Sus scrofa: one gene and its partners. The protein of the gene in region 1 interacts with the protein of each later gene in a pairwise test. Links are inferred from orthologs where the notes say so. Each region holds a gene or a part of one and is shown in the gene's direction. Other genes may lie near its edges.

What was found. The genes of interacting proteins can lie anywhere in the genome.
Region 2: the proteins of CAMK2B (region 1) and RAP2B interact in binary tests that used the Homo sapiens proteins (3 or more experiments, as listed by UniProt). The two-hybrid records come from large-scale screens. The link is inferred for Sus scrofa from reciprocal best matches to the Homo sapiens genes CAMK2B and RAP2B.
Region 3: the proteins of CAMK2B (region 1) and CCM2L interact in binary tests that used the Homo sapiens proteins (3 or more experiments, as listed by UniProt). The two-hybrid records come from large-scale screens. The link is inferred for Sus scrofa from reciprocal best matches to the Homo sapiens genes CAMK2B and CCM2L.

The regions. Positions count from the first base shown.
Region 1 is NC_010460.4:50,860,811-50,865,024, forward strand, and holds the start of CAMK2B (calcium/calmodulin-dependent protein kinase type II subunit beta), read left to right. Parts: upstream 1-1,414; 5' UTR 1,415-1,644; coding exon 1,645-1,709; intron 1,710-4,214. UniProt on the Homo sapiens protein: Calcium/calmodulin-dependent protein kinase that functions autonomously after Ca(2+)/calmodulin-binding and autophosphorylation, and is involved in dendritic spine and synapse formation, neuronal plasticity and regulation of sarcoplasmic reticulum Ca(2+) transport in skeletal muscle.
Region 2 is NC_010455.5:93,306,629-93,309,163, forward strand, and holds RAP2B (ras-related protein Rap-2a precursor), read left to right. Parts: upstream 1-1,483; coding exon 1,484-2,035; downstream 2,036-2,535. UniProt on the Homo sapiens protein: Small GTP-binding protein which cycles between a GDP-bound inactive and a GTP-bound active form. Involved in EGFR and CHRM3 signaling pathways through stimulation of PLCE1.
Region 3 is NC_010459.5:35,669,788-35,673,869, forward strand, and holds the start of CCM2L (cerebral cavernous malformations 2 protein-like), read left to right. Parts: upstream 1-1,282; 5' UTR 1,283-1,347; coding exon 1,348-1,377; intron 1,378-3,861; coding exon 3,862-4,029; intron 4,030-4,082.

The DNA.
Region 1 (4,214 bases):
GGTTCCTTGGCCTCCAGCCGTCTGTTGGGTGCGAGTTCCGTCTGACCAGGGCTGGAGCTGGTCTCCACTTGGTCTGCTCATCTGCCTGACGGCTGTGTGCCCCAGGCAACCTGGTCGGGGAGGCCCTGGCATCTGCCTCTCCCTCTAGACCTTTCATTCTAGCTTTTATCCAGGAAGCGTGTATTGTGGCTTCTAGGGCCAGTCCTGGGCTGGCCACCGAGGTGAGAGAGATGAGCAGGACAGGCCCCGACCCTGCCCCTGGGGACCCGTGGTGCGGTAAGTGGCTCCGGTCAGGGCAACCGAATGGCCCACACCCAGGGCTGGCGGCTGGAAACTGCCTGTCCTCAGGGCCTGCCCAGGGTGACTCTGGCCCTTTCCTCTCCGAGGAGGAGGCGGGGGGAGCTGGAGTCCAGCGGGTTGTCCTCGCTGGCTTTGAAGCCCTGGTTCTAGGTGGCAGCTGAGCTGTAGCCCTGAGGGAGGCTCCACTGTGGGAAACGGGTCAGCCCAGCCTCCGCTGCTCCCCGCCCCGCTCCCTCCTCCTCCTCTTCTCCAGGCCAGAGGGGAGCAGGCTGGTGGACTGGGCCTGGGAGAGGGAGAATGTGCCCCTTCCTGGGCAGGGGGCTGTGAGCTCTCAGGACCCTTGAGTGCTGTTCTCTTGATTCCAGGACCCTCTGCCTAAACTCCACAGTCTGTTCCTGAGGCCTCCATTCCAGACCCCTGCGTCCAGTGCTAGGACAGGGAGGGAGGGGCCAGGACCATGAGGGAGGGGGCAGCCTCCACCCTTTCGACTTCCACTCCCAGGGTCCTTGTGTGCAGCCTGGCCTGGGAGCTGCTGCCCGGGGAAACCGGACCGAGCTGTGTGAGTGGTGGAGAGCCGGGCCGGAGGATCTGCTCCTGGGGGGGTCGGGCTGAGGGCTGAGTCCTGTGGAGGGAGGGCTCTCCCCTCCCCCTTGTGCACTTGGGTCTTCTCTCTTGAGGTCCAGGGCGAGGTCGGCCTTCAGGGGAGCAGGGGGCCGGGTTCATTATATGCAGTCCCGTGTGTGTGAGTGTGTGTGTGTGTGTGTGTGTGTGTGTGTGTGTACGCGGGTGCAGGAGAGTCACCAGGAGGCAGCGGAGAATCTGGCTCCGGGAGCCAGCGGTTCCCCGAGTGCGTGGCCCCAGGCGCATGGGCGCGGGTGCGGGTGGCAGCGCAGCGTGTGCAGGGCGAGGGTTGCAGGGCGCGGGTGCGAATGCTGGGAGCGGGAGTGGGTGCGAGGGCGCGGATGCGGGTGTGGGTGCAGGTGCAAGGCTCAGGTGCGGTTGCGAGTGCAGGGAGCCGATGCGGGTGCAGGGCGCGGATGCGGGCGCGGGTGCAGGGCGCGTGCAGGGGGCGGCGGGCGGGGCGGGCGCGGCGGCGGCGGCGGCGGCGGTGACAGCGGCGCCCGCGCTCCCCGCGCGTAGGTGTGCGGCGCGCTCCTGGCGGGGACGGAGCGCGCAGATCTCGCGTGCGCTCGCCGCCCGGCGCAGCCCAGCCCGGCCCCCGCTCGGCGCCGCGAGCCGAGGTGTCGCCCGCGCCCGCGCCCGTGTCGCCGCCGTGCCCGCGAGCGGGAGCCGGAGTCGCCGCCGCCCGAGCGCAGCAGAGCGCACGCCGAGCCCGTCGCCGCCATGGCCACCACGGTGACTTGCACCCGCTTCACCGACGAGTACCAGCTCTACGAGGATATTGGCAAGTAAGAGCCGCGGCGCGTGCGGGCCGGGCCCGGGGCCCCGGAGGGCGCCGCGGGCTGAGGGCCGGGACCCTGGAGACCCAGACCCTCCGCGCCGCCGGCCCCGGGCGCACTGCGGCCCCGCGCGCCCCCGGCTCCTCCTCGCTCGGGGCCCGGAGCGCACGTCCTCGCGCGGCCCCGACCCCCGGGACCCGGGGCCCAGCCACGGGACCTCGGCGCGCGCGGCCCTGCCGGGCCCTGTCCAGCGCGGTCGCCTGGTCGGAGGCCTGGGCTCCGGCCGCCGGGCGCGGGGCGGCGGGGGCGGCAGCAGGTGTCCCCGGAGCGCCCGGCAGACGTGACGCATTTGGCGGCGGGAGGTCAAAGAGGAGCGGCGTGCGGGGGCGGCCGCGGGGCCTAGAGCGCGGGGGAGGGGGCGGCCCTGGCCCGGAGGGTCGTCCCCGCGCGGGCTGTGCGGTCCCCACCCCCACCGAGCGGCCGGGCGCGGGGGCGGCGGGACCTGCTCTGCGCCTGCTTCTCCGCGTGGCTCCATCCGCGAGGGGGGTGCCCGCTGCACTCCGTGCCTCTTGGGAACAGCCTCTGCTGTGGGTCCCCGGAGGAATCGGGGTTCTGGAGGATTTTCCCCCAGATCCTTCTGGAAAGAGGAGTCTGGAGAGCTGGGGCCGAGGTCAGGGAGCTTGGACCAGGTCACTGGGGCGGAGATGAGGGGGTGAAGCGGCACTTGATGGGCTTCTGATTTCAGGGTCCTCGAGGCAGGAGGGGGTTGGATTCTGGAGAGTTTTTTTGGGGGGGCAGGGGGGAGGTACTTCGAAGGCTCGTTTCGGGTAGGGCCTCACCGGGGAACAGGTGGCTCCTGGGCTCTGCTAACCAGCATGAGCGATGCCAGGCCCTGGACCTGACTCTGCCGCCGGGGTCTGCCTCAAAGCCGGTCATGGGCTCCTCTCTGGTCTGGGGTCTCCCCTGTGCGAATCAGGGTGGCTGCCCTGGCCTCCCTAGGTCTGGCTGCAGAACTCCTTGCTCAATCCCCGGGCTCCAGCCTGGCGGCAGCCAGAGACCCATCCTCCTCCACCCTCCTCCGTCCCTCCCGCGTGGTGGGGGCCCTGGCGAGGTTTCCTCTTACACATCCAGAGGCAGCTACCCCCTCTTTATTAAAAAAAAAAAAAAGTCTGTGGTGATACCTTGTGTTGGCGAGGGATGCTGATCATTGATAATTGTGGGTGTGAGCTGGGAGGAGTGTGTGGGTGTGCGAATTCCCCAATTCTCCCTGCACTGGAGGAGGGGGGATGCCAGGCAGGCTTGGGGGGGCTGAGGAGTGAGTTGGAGTGGAGAAAGCCCATGGTGGGGGGCCCTGGGGACACAGGAATTCCCTTCCCTCAGGTGGGGGCTGATTGGGTGCCTGGCCCCAAGGCAGGGGGCCTTGGAGAGCAGAGCAAGGGGGGCAGCCAGCACACAGGCTGTGTGCACCCCTGAGGCCCGGAGGACACAGGCCTGGAGGAAGCTTCCAGGGCCTGCCTGGATCAGGCCTGTGAGGATGGGGTGATGCACTGGCAGTCCTCAGATGGCGGCAGGTGGTTCTCTGAGGCAGAGGGTGGCAGTGGGAGAAAGGCCACCCCATTCTAGGGGACTTTCTTGTTGCTCCTCTACTTCGTCCCAGGCCCTCCTGCCAGGCGCCTCCAGGTCTCTTTGCAGAAGCGCCTCTTGTCATTTCACCCCGTTTCCTCAACCTGAAGCTTGCACCGCTGACCCTGCCTTGACCTTTCTGTGAACCCGCCTGGACCAGAGGCCCCCCCAGCGTGGTCCCCCTACCGCCGCAGGCCTCCGGTTCCAGCAGCAGTGACTGGTTATCCTGGCTGCTGCCATCCGCACCCACACTGGGCAGAGAGGTCCCTGCGGCTGCCCTGGGGGAGGCCCACAGGGGTGGCAGATGCTGCAGTGGAGGCCAGGCTCCTCTCCCATCAGCACAGACACGAGCAGTTTCAGGAAGCGAGCTGCAGGCCTCGGGCGTGAGTGGGGGCAGAAGTCTAGCCATCGAGGGGGACCAGGGAGAGGAGGGGAGCGTGTCCCTGTGAGTGGCCCAGCCCTGCGGAGCCCACAGGGCTTCAGCTCGGCCCAGCACCCCTCAGTGGAGCCCCCCAGGTGCCAGGCCCAGTGAGGGGCACTCAGGGGCCTGTCCTAGCCCCTCTGGGGGTCCTGGGTGGGGAGCAGGCAGGGCCAGGCAGGGTGCGCTGCAGTGGAGCAGGTGTCAGGATGGAGAGTCCGGCCCTCCGGCCCCCCACCGCCTCCATCCAGGGCTGGGGTCCACAGTGGCCATGTTGGCGATTGTTGACAGCGCCTGGCCTGTCCCAGCGCAGTTGGTGTTGCTTCCCGGCCCAGGTGGATGCGTCCAAGTTTATTTAAAGCTGCAGCCCCTGGCACCAGTCAGGCGACACCAAGCTCCCTGCCCGGCCTGGGCCGGGCCACAGGCCCACAGCTGCTTGTGTGAGTGACGTGGCCGCTGGCTTCTGCCCTCCC
Region 2 (2,535 bases), on another chromosome or scaffold:
TGCCTCCGCCTCTCAACTCAATCTCTATAAATAACCAATCACGAGCGGAGTCTACTTTTTAGCCAATGAAGCAGCCCAAACTGATAAGATCTTGGCAGTAGCCAATGGGAGAGCATTTGAGGGTGTGAGATTTGCGCCCCGGGACCAATGGGTCCAGAGTCTGGGAGAGGTAATTTGAGCTAGAGTGTGGGTGTGTGGTGCACAAGCTTCCTACTTCCAAGCCCCCAAACCTGCTCTGTGCACTGAGCATGCCCTGACTAGCTGCGGGCGCCACCGCCGCTTTGGATAGGACTGTAATCCGCTCTCCAGATTTTGGCCCCAGCTGACTGGGGCGGGGGAGGGGGCGAGTGGGGGGGCGGGGTGGCCCGCGGAACCCTAGCCCGAAGACAGCTCTGGTTAGTAGAGGCAGCCCTTTCCCTAGTCGCAACAGGGTTTCAGACCCAGCATTCCCGTTTTCTTTGTCCCAGAGATGAAAGTGCGGGAGAGTAGGCCAGAGAAGGTCGGGTAGAAAGAGCTGCGCCTTGGGTAGGGGAAGATGGTCTTCCCGCCAAACACCCAAACGTCCTTTGGGTCTCAATCCCGGGAGACACACCCTCCGGGGGTCTGGGAAGTGGGATCTACGGGCTCTGAATGATGCGAGGCAAGAGCCCAATCCTCCCTATTCCCAGGGAGGAGTGAGGGGGTGGCTGCCGCACCCACTCGCTTCTCGAAGAGCCTGAGCCCCTATGTATGAACCCAGAGCGGCGAAAGAAGGCTGCCTCCAACCTCCCACTGGAGCTCTCCCAGCCCGCCACAAACACCTACACATCCCGGCACATTTGTCCTCTTGCTGGGAGACCAGAGCCTCCGGCGAATCCGCTAGTCCCGACTCAAATCGCGAGCCCCACCCACAACCCCGCCTCCGCCCGGCTCCCTGGAAAACCAGGAGCAGCGGATCCGGCGGGAGCGGCCGGCGGCGGCGCACTGGGCATGCTCGTCCGGGCGGGGAGGGCCGGGCTGCGCGCGGCGAGTAGGAAGCCCTCGCCCCGCGGAGGCTGAGGAAGAGAGCTCCATGGGCCGCGGCGGTGGGCGCACGCTCTGCGGGGACTCATGCCACGCGCGTCCCGGCCCGACGCGCAATTAGCTGCCGCCTCCGCAGCCCGCTACCTCCGCCGCCTCCTCGCCCTTCTGGGCTGCCGCGACGAGAAGCTGCAGCCTTCGCTTTGCACAGGCTGCCGGCATTGTCCTCCGGTTCCGCCGCCCAGGCTGCCGCTGCCGCTGCCGCCGCGGGCTGCTGCGGGGCCCCGGACCTGCGCCCCAGGGACGCGCTGCCGCTGCCGGCCGGCCCGGCGCCCGGCCCCCGCTCGGTGATTTCCGCGCTCTGCGCTCCTCGGCCATTTCGCTCCTGAGTTTTTCCTGCGGAGCTGAGGAAGGGTAGAAGTCCAGCCGCCAAGCCCAGCCTTACTACGGCGCGCAGCCCCGACGGGCGAGCGCCGACGGAGCCATGAGAGAGTACAAAGTGGTGGTGCTAGGCTCGGGCGGCGTGGGCAAGTCCGCGCTCACCGTGCAGTTCGTGACCGGCTCCTTCATCGAGAAGTACGACCCCACCATCGAGGACTTCTACCGCAAGGAGATCGAGGTGGACTCGTCGCCGTCCGTGCTGGAGATCCTGGACACGGCCGGCACGGAGCAGTTCGCGTCCATGCGGGACCTGTACATCAAGAACGGCCAGGGTTTCATCCTCGTCTACAGCCTCGTTAACCAGCAGAGCTTCCAGGACATCAAGCCTATGCGGGACCAGATCATCCGCGTAAAGCGGTACGAGAGAGTGCCCATGATCCTGGTGGGCAACAAGGTGGACTTGGAGGGCGAGCGCGAGGTCTCTTACGGCGAGGGCAAGGCCCTGGCCGAGGAGTGGAGCTGCCCCTTCATGGAGACATCGGCCAAAAACAAAGCCTCGGTGGACGAGCTGTTTGCCGAGATCGTGCGGCAGATGAACTACGCGGCGCAGCCCAACGGAGACGAGGGCTGCTGCTCGGCCTGCGTGATCCTCTGAGGCGCCCGCGGCTGCCGCGCGCCGGCCGAGCTCTGCGCACAAAAGCCAAACGCACCCGACTCTAAATGTGATTTCTCTTCTTGCTTTGAGATTGGAGACGACTTTGCATCGGCCGGGGTGTCCCGGGAGCCCGGCTGGCCCCCGTGGCCATGTCCCCTGCCTCTGCCCCGTGTCCGAGGGGGTGTGCCGTTCTGACCATCCGAGACCCGATGGAAATGTGGCTCTTTGCGGCATGTACGTTTCTCATTGATTTTGGTTGACGCGTTATTTCCCCATTGACGCAGCCGTTGGGGCGCTGTATTGGCAGCTTGACACCGGCAAGCGAAAGTTTCAGCCTGGAGAAAAAAAAAAAAAAAAAAATGGGGTGGGGGAGGAAGAGGACGGGGAGAAGGTTGGAAAGGGGGAGTTTTTTGTTTTTGTTTTTCTGTCCAAAACCGTTTTTCTCGTTCCAAGTTTTAAATACTCGGAAGGAAGTCCGGGAGAACCAAATGAAGGAGCAG
Region 3 (4,082 bases), on another chromosome or scaffold:
CGAGCACAGCCAAAAAAAAAGTAAAAGAAGTCCCAAGTCCTTCTCTCATTCACTGTAAGCCTTCCTTGGGTCAGACTCTGCAGCTGAACTTGTTTTTAAAATCTGTATAACAGGTATACAGATTTTAAATGGTACCCCAATATTGGGAAAAATAAGCAAGATGAAATACATGAAGTGCTCAGCTCAGAACCACAGAAAGAGCACTGACTGTCTAATATTATTCTCCCAGGAGATAGTAAAAGAGCCCAGGACGCAAAGACGCACAGGTAGGTAGTTAATATTTATTGAATACTTCACATGTGCCAGGAACTTTTCTAAGTACATTTAATTCTTACAAGGTCACTCTGCGATCAGACTGGTACTATGCCAATTTTCTTTTTCTTTTCTTGTTTTGTTTTGTTTTGTTTTGCTTTGTTTTAGGGCCACATTTGCAGCATATGGAAATTCCAGCCTAGGAGTTGAATTGGAGCTGCAGCTGCCAGCCTACACCACAGCCACAACACAGGATCTGAGCCACATCTGTGACTTATGCCACAGCATCACAGCTTGCAGCAACGCTGGATCCTTAACCCACTGAGCGAGGCCAGGGATTAAGCCCACATCCTCGTGGATAACTAGTCAGGTTCTGAGACACAAGGGGAATGCCCTTATGCCCATTGTATAGATGGGGAAATGGAGGCATAAAAGGTGTCAGGCCCAATAGCATAACCCTAGTAAGTGGCAAAGCCAGGATTCCAACTCAGGCAGCTTGTCTCTGAAGTCCATGCGTACCACATCCGTCACTAGCAATGATTAATTTGAAAAATCATGACTTGCTTGAATATTTCAAAATCAATATTCCGTAGCTTAGGAAGCATTTTCCCACCCACTCTTTCTTACCACAGCAGCCCAGAGAGGAAGGCAATGTTCACCCCCCCTCATAAAGGGAGGGGGAAACTGAGGCTGTGAAACAGGGAACTAACCTGCCTTGCCAAGGTCACACAGCAAGGTCAGTGGCAGCAGTAGTGGTGGAATTTGGGATTTTCTGACTCCAAATTCAGGGGACTCTTTCCAGCCTGGCTCAGCTCCCAAGCCCCCTGAATAGCGAGTCTGCTGGCCGGAGCCCTGGGGCTTCCTCCACAGATCAGTTGCTCTGGCTGGGCTTCCACTGTTTGGCTGGAGGGTCCCAAGGCTGCGTCCCCCACCCCCACCCCACCTCCCCACCGCTCACTATCAGACGGGAGGGGCAGGAACTCCGAGGCTGGTGGAGTTTCCGACCAGGCAGGAAAAAGAACAAAGGAACTGTGTGGGGGGAGAAGGTGGAGGGGGTGGCCAGGAGGGTGGCCGGATTGCAGGGGACACTTCACCATGGAATATGAAGTCAAGAAAGGGAAAAAGGTAGGTGGGAGGTGGGAAGGGATACAGGGCAGAGAAATGTCCCCGGAGGTGGACGAGGGAGAAGCCTTGGGGGGTGGGGGTGGGGGGTCAGCAAGTGGTGTCAGGAAGACTTTTCTTCTTCTTTGGAAAGTCTTCCTCCCCACCCTTGGACAGCCAGACATTTGGGCTCCCTGACCCGTCACCCTGCTCTCAGTGGCCTCTGCCATCCTGGGAAGGGACAGATGGACAGGCAGGGAAACCCAGGCAGCCAGATTAGTTTGGGACATACTCCCAACCTGCTTCCCTGGTGTTCCTGGGGATTCCCTCTTGCAGCTTCTCAGACCGAGGGGCAGACACCGAGCAAACCCATTCCCCTGCTCCCTGCCTCCCTCCCCAGACAGAGGACCTCAGCAGCGCAAGTCTGTGCTGAGGCTGCCCATCCAGGCTCGGGACACCTACCTGCCCCACCCCCCACCCTCACCCTGGGTTCCAACGAGGCTGCCCCTTCCCCATCTTTATTCAGGGACCAGCTCTCTTCCCCAAAGGCCTCAGCCTGGGGATCATCCCCCCACCCCCTAGATCTTTACCCCTTCCTGACTCTCAGAAATTGTCTAGTCTGGTTCTCCGGGCCTTTCACTTGTTTGTCTTTAGGGTCCAGGGAGACTCTGGGGAGCCCAACCCCTACCCCCACCGAGCCGTCCTCCCTGGGAACCTGGGTCGGGCTGTTTAAAAGGCTCCTGCATGAATTGTGAGGGCTCCGAAGGGAGCCACATCATGGGTGCTTGTTCCCTCTTAGTTCATTCATTCTATAGATATTATTTATTCAGTATCTATGATGTGCCTGGTGTTGGTGATGCACTGGTGAGCAAAGGCAGACAAGGTCCCTGCTCCCTCCCTGGAGCTCACAGTCTAATGGGGGAGACAACTATTAATTTTTTTAGAGCAATTAGTGTAAAATTGCATAAAAGGTTCCATGCAGAGTGCTGGAGAATATTAAGAGCCCAGCTCTAGACTGGTGAGTTTGAGCTGAGATCTGATGGGTGAGAGGAAAGGGGATAGGGAAGAGTGTTTCAGGCAGAGGAACAGCATGTGCAAGGCCCCATGATAGGAAGGAATGTAGCCAGTAGGATGAACGGAAAAACAGCCCTATGGCTGGAAGGCAAGAGTGAGGGGTGGTATGGGGTGAGATGAGCTGGAAAGGCCGGCAGGGCTGGACTATTCAGGGCCACCTCCTCCACTCCACACATACACACACACACACACACACACACACACACACACACACACTCCCACACACGAGATAAAGTCCCAGCTCCTTAGCTGGCATTCAAGCCCCTGATGACTTATTCATCTCATCACTCAGCCATGGTGGATTACAACACAACTTCTCTAGGCTCCTGCTCATTAGGCCCTTGCAGCCCCCAGGGTTTTGCACACTTGCTATACCCTCTGCTTTGAAGCCCGTTCCCACATCGTTTTTCAGAGCTTCCATGTACTTTAGCCAGCTCCACAATACTGATTTTAAAACTTGAACTGGGCATGTTTAAAACACAGATCCCTGGGTCTCACCCCAGGTTCTGATCCAATAGGTCTGGGATGGAGCATGAGAATGTGCCTTTCTTTTAAGTTCTCAGGCGATGCTGTGCTGCTGGTGGAGGCCCAGGAACCACAGGCTGAGAACCATTGCTCTAGAGCAGCGATGACACTTTGCAGAAATTTAAATTCTGTTCGGCTGGGCTGGGGCCCTGGAATTTGCTCCTTTAACCTTGCTGCAGGCCACTTTTATGCAGGTGCCCGCTGGGTTACACTTAAATGTACTTATTAACCATCTAATATTTAGGGAGACACAGAAAAGAGCTTCACAAATACCTATGCACCTGCCACTCAGCCACATTGAATGTTAATATGTTTCTGTACTTGCCCCAGCCTGTGCCAGTTCCTTAAACCCAAGCCTGGGCCTGGGCAGGCCTTCTACCCTCACCTGGGTGTGTTTGTTTGTTTTAGGGCTGCCCCTGTGGCATATGGAAACTGCCAGGCTAGGGGTTGACTAGGAGCTGCAGCTGAGGCCTATGTCACAGCCATAGCAACACTGGATCTGAGCTGCATCTGTGACCTACGCCACAGCCTGCAACAACCCCAGATCCTTAAGCCACTGAGAGAGGTCAGGAGTTGAACCCACATCCACATGGAGACTATGCCAGGTTCTTAACCCCCTGTGCCACGACAGGAACTCCTCACCTGGGTGTTTAGAATGGAAGGATTAGAGCCAGACTGCCCAGGGTGAACTATTGGTTCTACTGCTAGTAGCTGGTGACGTTATGAGCTACTTCCCTGTGTGAGGCTTAGTTTCTCCATCTATAAAATGGGAATCACAGACATACCCCATCTGCAGGGGTCTCGCAAGAATTAAATCAGGTAACCTAAGTAAAAGGCTGCGCAGATAAGTGCTGGATAAAGTCAGCTGCCATCATTACTGTTCTTCCCCCCAACCCTTGCCTCCCCTAGGGCTTCGTGTCCCCCATCCGGAGGCTGGTGTTCCCCAAGGCTGGGCGCCGGGCAGCCTGTCGGAGCAGCGTGAGCCGCCGGCCCTTGCACTCAATGCCCCTTTATCCCCCCGACTACCTCATCGACCCCCAGATTCTGCTGTGTGACTATCTGGAGAAAGAGGTCAAGGTAGGTGCAGATGAGGAGGAGAGATGGGAAGCATCTCTGGGGTGAGGGGTTGA